Linked DNA regions of Drosophila melanogaster. The protein of the gene in region 2 interacts with the protein of the main gene of each other region in a pairwise test. Each region holds a gene or a part of one and is shown on either strand. Other genes may lie near its edges.

The links. The genes of interacting proteins can lie anywhere in the genome.
Region 1: the proteins of CkIIalpha-i3 (region 2) and CG13838 interact in a two-hybrid assay, tested with the Drosophila melanogaster proteins (one large-scale study listed by BioGRID).

Annotation. Positions count from the first base shown.
Region 1 is NT_033777.3:23,040,425-23,043,169, reverse strand, and holds CG13838 (uncharacterized protein), read right to left. Parts: upstream 930-2,745; 5' UTR 838-929; coding exon 562-837; 3' UTR 501-561; downstream 1-500.
Region 2 is NT_037436.4:708,093-712,325, forward strand, and holds CkIIalpha-i3 (CKII-alpha subunit interactor-3), read right to left. Parts: upstream 2,270-4,233; 5' UTR 2,266-2,269; coding exon 2,218-2,265; exon of another isoform or gene 2,192-2,217; coding exon of another isoform or gene 2,156-2,191; coding exon 1,646-2,155; intron 1,522-1,645; coding exon 1,465-1,521; intron 1,403-1,464; coding exon 1,241-1,402; intron 1,192-1,240; coding exon 1,120-1,191; intron 1,063-1,119; coding exon 988-1,062; intron 932-987; coding exon 899-931; intron 837-898; coding exon 618-836; 3' UTR 509-617; downstream 1-508. Other genes in the region: CG13896 (uncharacterized protein), read right to left, coding at 2,850-3,595, 3,653-3,665.

The DNA of each region.
Region 1 (2,745 bases), on a different chromosome or scaffold from region 2:
GGTTATACCGCTCAGTCTACTACATATACCATGCACCAGATGCCGCGGGGCACAGACAACAAGAAGTAAAAGAAAGGACCCCATATGGTGCCGACGGCTCAAGTGATTAAGTGCACGACGAGATCTTCAAATGCAGTGCAACATGTGCACAAATACAAAACACACACACACACACACACACACGCATATTGAAAATGTATGTAAATTCTAATTAAGATTGTGGATGAAGACCCCCAGCACCTTGATACTTCTGCTCAATGCGCATTGCGCATGCGCAGCCCCGCATCCGAAGATCCATAAAAATAGCTCACTAATTATTTGTGTGCTAGGGTTACAGTTCTCATAAAAAACAAACAAACTGTCGGGCGTTTTATGGATCTTCTGCCTCTATGGCCTCAATGCCCCCGCGAAGTTTTCGATCCCCATTCGATTCGAAACCGAAGAAGAGCTACGACCAATCACTTTTCAATTCCTATGAGCAGTTGAGCATCAATTGATTTCGATATGAAAATAAAATACATTTATTTATTATCACATTACGTATCACAGCCATTCGCCCGCCTACGCCCTGGCATCTGGATCGCCACATCCATCGTGCGGACCTTGTGCCGGCATTTCCGAGCTGATTAGCCTCCGAATCTCGACCAGAACCCGGTCCGTTCGAGCCTCCAGGTTGTCGAGGGCGGTGTTTAGGTCATCCAAGCTGGAATTGACTCTGGCCATCAGACGCTCCGAGTTGTTGGTCAGCTCGATGAGGTCATCGAAACTGCTGGCCTGGCGACTCTCCATCGATATCCTGTCCAGATCCAGCTGCAGCTGCTCATCGGCGCTGTCCATCTGGGCTTTAAGGGCTGGGAAAACAACTTTCGATTTAAATTTAAATTTTTTTCACCCTAAATCATGATTTTCGGTGTTATTTTGTGCCATGCGATCCGAAGTGTAAAGCAAATTTGACTTGGTTTGTTTTGCTATCGAACATAATTAAAGTTGCTTACCATAAACCAATTTAATTTAATTGTAATTGCAGCTAACTGGCTTTTGGGTACTTTTGCTTTTAACGCCAAATGTGAAATATTAAGTATATTTTATTTAAGCGATGGCACCTGTAAATTGAGATTTAAGGGGTATATTAAATGGGTGAACTTGATGATTTTTTTTTTTCATCAAACGTTTATTAAAGTCTATTGCTTAAAAAAATGAAAGTAAATTGCTTGCCATTTTAGGAGGATATTTTTGAAAAATCGTTACAACTTTTCAAATACAATAAATTAAATGTTTTGAAAAATATTTGCGCCCAGGGCACCAGAAAGTCCACTCTTCTTTTTCGACTATTGTTTGTTTTGCTTTGTTTGTAATTGGCGAGCTATTACAAGAGCTACACTCGTTCATTTCATTAAACCCATTTACAAAATGGCTTTGTCCATTATTTATACATATCAATTATAAATTTGTGCGCTGCGACTGCAATATTCATATTCACTTGTCAAAATGTCAACTCAAAATAGAATATTTATGAATTTTTATGTGTGCATATCGGTCCGTGATTTGTTTGTTTTACGCTCTCCTTTCGAGAACTCTTTGTTAGCATTCAGGATTGGGTTGAAGTAAATAATAAAAAAAATGCAGCAACCAGAAAAGAGGAGAAAATGACAATTCAGCCTATAAATACGCGGCGGCAACCGAAGTTGAAATCAATTTTTTTGGCCCCATACTGCGGTGGTCGCGTTCCCCCCCACCCCCGCACCAGTTTGGTACTGAAAATTGGAAGTGGGCTCCACCGAATGCGGTGCCACTATTTAGTTTAGCCGCAGAACAAGGTGCCTCAATTTATTTTTAATTGCATGCAAATTGAGCCAATCGGCCGGCTGATGGATGTGGTTGCTTGTCCAACGATGCGGTCTTTTTTTTCGGCTATTAAGAGGATGGACTGCTGCTCCTTTCTGTTTCATCTGCTGGCTTAGGCATTTTCACTTAATGAATTTTCATTCAAAGTGACTGCTGCAAGGATGTGTCGTCCTGGCTGTGAAGTGAACTTCCTGCCATTAACCGAACTGCTGCTGCTGCTGCTGCCAGCATGGTGGCCAAAAAGTATGCCTCTGTTGACGTTTTCTTTGTGGTTGGCTAAAATCTGTTATTATTGCCATTAAGCTGGCTTTTGTTGTCATCTCTCCGGCCTGCCTACATACGCATACACATACATCTATGTATGCATATGCATTTGTGCATTTACCCTGCCGATATCCTTCAGCTCGAGTGGTTGTGTGGATTTTCCTGGTCTTCCAGCGGGTTAACTTGGATCTGTTCTTGAGGTTGTTATCACTTGGTTATTGAATTTTCCGCACACACTTTACAAGCTCTAAATCTAAACGGCTCAACTTGTTGCCGCCGCCCAGTTTGAAAACGTTTTTGTTACTGCTCGTCGTCATTAGTTGAAAAGCGCTCTTAGTTTGCCTCGTTTGTTTGCCGAAAAGTCTCATTGTTGCCACGTCTTTGGGTCCGGCTTCTTCTGGTTCTGTTGTTGCTGCATAACGCAGCCTGTTGTTGTCATCAGGTTGCATTTGCGTTTTACACTGTTTTGCCCAAATAAAGGCATATAATTTATGTGTGTGGTAGTAGTCCTGGTCGTTGTGCCACGTTGAATGTCCTTACCGAGCTTATATCCGAGCGGAGAATACTAAGTGAGCTGCAGCTCCATTGTGGTCCATAAACTTTGTCACGCTGTGTAGCCTCTTCCCTGGCTGCCGG
Region 2 (4,233 bases):
TAAAGTACACTTTGTTGAAAATATACAGCAGTTTTTTAGGCACATTAAACAGAAAATATGTGCGGTCGCACGTGTTTAAAGTTGCCAGAGCGAGTGCAACTCAATGACTGAGCATGCGGTCCGAACATTGCAGAGATCTGGACTCTCCTCCGTTTGGCGGAGCGGCAAAAACCGTATCTTTGCGAGAGACATTCCGCTCTTTCTCTCGCGATCTAAACCGACTTCCCACGTTCCGATTCCGATCGTGGTGGTATTCGTTCGCGGTATGGGATTTATTTTCGGATCGAGAGTAAATATTCTCTCGCTAAAGCAGCTATAACTGGTTTAACATGCCGAAAAACACAAATCGCATTACCACCTAATCTGAGCTGAAACTGGTTTGATATGTACACATACATATATATAAAGCTATTTTTGCTCAAATTATATCTAGTGCTTAATTTAACGTTTACCACATTTAAGTGGGACCCTGTTGGTTATTCCACTCTATAAACTCTTTTCGCATATTACAATTATTTACACATTTTGGGTCTTGACTCTCAAAGGCAGGACACACGAACATTTTAATTGTAGATTACATATAAAAACTAAACTTTATTTTTGTGGCGTCAATAAGATCATAGATCGAAATCCTCGTTCTGAGGCGGATTTAAAACTGATTTTTCAACTTCAGTAAGTAGTCCAATGGCCCGATAGTTATCATTTAACATGGCGTACTCCTGTAAGACCTTCACGTAGGCCAAGGCCATATTTTTACAGTCGATGGATTTCAGTGAATTTTGTAAGGAAGCGACTACTTTGGGGTCCACATCGTCTTGACTGGTCTCATTTTCCTCCTGTCATTGAGTCATTTATCGTTACGTTAGTTCTATTACAGTCCAAGGACCTGTTTACTTACCTCAACTGCTGCCGTGTCGTGAGATTCAACAGTCTAAAAAAAAACATTCCAAAATTAAACACATTTTTCAGGTTGAAGAAACAACTAACCTCCTTGATCTCATCTTTTAAGGTCGTTTCCTTTTCCAATGACCCAATTTCCTCTTCATCGGTAAATTCACCATGCTAAGAAAATTAATAATAAGTGCTAATGTTACTGTTGATCTACTTGTACACACCCACCTCTATCTCTATTTTAATTATAGCTTCTTCAGAATCCGTACGCACGCGTACTTCTAATTTTTTCGACTTCGCCTGCAATAATAGTATTAATTTATGTTGCGACTTTTCAATAGTGTCATACCATTATTGGCGTTTTGTTGGCTTTCTTATTTCCTGCCGCTTTTGCTTTTTCATCATCAGACCATTTTTTACACACCTTACAAAGTTTGGATGGACGATTCTTAGTCAGCTTTCTTAGGTATTCACACCTCTTACAGCCACTTTTAATTAGACCGCTTTGTTGCTAGGATTAGTTTTATATTTACTAGCATTTAACTTATCCTTTATATGTTTGGCTATACTCACCAAGCTTACAGCTTCCTTCCACTTGTTGGTTTTTGCATTTAACATATTTCTAGGTTTCTAAAAAAGCATATCGAGTTCAGTCGAAATTCGATCAGAATTCGATGAGAGTTTTCATGAAAACATGGATGGATATTGGAAGCGCAATGAAAATATGTATAAGTTCTTTTGTAACGGTTCTTACATTGATCAGCTTTGGTTTCTCAGTAAGTTGCTCAGTTTTGTCCATCTTGGCCTCCGTCAGCTGGACCAGGCGATCCCGCCACCTGCGGCAGATTCTCTTGGTCTTGCGCTGTTCCTGCACCAGTGAGATTGAGCTGCCCACTTGGAACTCGCGCTGTGTGGGATCGGTCTTTGCCTGGATTTTGTTCCTCATCTCCACCATTTGCTCTATGTATTGTTTGACCTTGATGATTTCGGCATCCTGCAGGCCAATCAGAATGTCCCTGTACTTCCCAATAAGTCCTTTGAAACGTATCACTTGCATGGCAAGCATCATGGACTGCGCCTTGTAGGACGTACGCTTCGAGTTATTCTTCTCCTTCTGGATGACAGTGCGCAGCTGATCGAGCTCGCCATAGGTATCATTAAGGTAGCGGATGGCATTACGAAGATTTGACTCCGCTGTGGCAAAGGCGGTAGCATCCGGTGGACGAAATCCTGGCGGGGCAGGACCCAGTGCAAATAACCGGGACTGCAAGTTGTCCGATAAATTGGATTCCTTTTCCATAAATTTAACAAAACTTAGACTTCCACAATATGCTTTTTTGTAGACTTCAGATTGGTATTGCCCATCCGATGCATTTAGGGTTGCAATTTCGAAGTTATCGATAAAGTTTGCTTCATTTGATCAATATTGCATAATACTATAACTTTTTATTAACTGTATTACATGTTTTCACGATACTAGTTAATTCTTTTCAATTATGTTTGAATTTTCTATTTTGTGCAACCGAAGGTCTTTTCTTGAACCTTTAGTGTCATATTGGTGCTGCCAGATTTTTCGGTTTTTGTCAATTTCCAAGACGAACTTGCTTACAGATCGGCGTTGATCTCGGCAGGATTCACTTTGTTACTCTTCAAAATACTAATAAGATTTCAGAAATGTTGGTTTTTCTTGTGAAATTCCTTTAGATTGTTGTAACTATAGGTTTTAGAAAACGGTATTGCCACAGCGCAATATTTTAGCCAATACCCAAGCCAGATTTGTTTAGAACCAGATTCATTTTTCAGTGGTGTTAGCAAGTGCATGAACCATATTTAAATAAAGTAAATTAAAGTATATATATTATAAAATATTAAAATCTTAAATATAGAGGTATAAATTAGGTATGTGCCTTATCTTATCTTTGCTTTTCCAGTAGATTACGTGCTTGTTTATAAGGACACTACGTTTGATCCACCTCGAAGTCCTTGATCTGGGCTGGATATTGAATGGCGTGCTCCACCTGTATTAGCAGTCCTATGGCCCTGAAATTATCATGGATCATGGCGTACTCCTGGAGCGCTCTTAGGTGTCTCAATGCCTCTTCGTCGTTGCTGATGGAGATCTCGGCCGCAGACTCTGACAAATCATTAGTATTGGGTTCGGCGGCATTAAAGACTGTAAACTGTTCCCCATCCCGCTGCCGATCCGTTTGCACTTCGTAGTCCTTCTGGATCTTGATATCGACATCATCCAATGGCTGCTTTCGTTTGCGATACGTACGCATTTGGCGGGGAATAACTGTGCTGACAGTGGTGCCCATAGACAGCATCCTGCCTTTCTGGATACCGGTCTCCAAACTGACCACCGCTTCATCGAAATCATTGATGGAAAGTTCCTGCGGCGGTGGGACAGGGTCATCCTTTAGAATTTCGGACATCTCGTCGTAGAACTGCCAGTTTGGATGGAAATGCGGTACCTTCGCCAGGAGCTTGCTCCTTATGCTATAGTAGGTCTTCTTCAGGTTCCTAAATTTTCGATCCAGCTGAACTGCATCGATATCTGTCATTCCCTGGCTTTCAAGGGCAACGACCATTTCCCCCCAAATGTCCTTGATCTTTTTTTTCGGATCCCGAAAATCAGCTTGGCGTTCATTGTAAAGGGACAATAAAAGTCGGGTGTTGGATGTACACCACTTCCTTTCGTAAGCTGGCTTATTGTGAGTATATATATAGTTTTCTTCTTGAATTTATGTTTTTTACTCACACTTTGTATCCATTGTTTACAATAGCTATTCAGTTGATGACGAATAAGTTTTGTTTCCCAGGCTGCCAGTTCTTTCGGACGGCGTAAGAGAAAGGTATCATGATCCAAACATATGTGTTTCGATTTTTCTCTATCGATAACTATCGAAAAGGTTGCACGAAACAAAGATGGGAATAGGCTTTCGTTTTTTGAAAATGGATTTTTTGCCTAATCTATATCAATACTCGCTACCGAAGAGAACATTTATTTTATATAAATACTCATCTTAGCCTCATTTAATTGCCATTATGTAGTTTTTGAATTTAAAAATCTCGCAGTAAGGATTTAGTGAGTACTTGCCGCAGGTTGAGACCTCCCGCAACTTAATTATAGAAAGTTAATATTGAAATGGACCTACATACATTACAAATAAGCACATAACTATTACTGTGCTGCCATCTACCGGCAATGCGACTTTCATTTACAGACGCTAGATGTCGCCCAAACAGTTCGTCGATAGGGGCGCAGTAGTATAAATGTAAAATAACCGGGTACCGTATACTCGAGTATACACAGTAAAAAAAAGTTTAATAAACCAATAT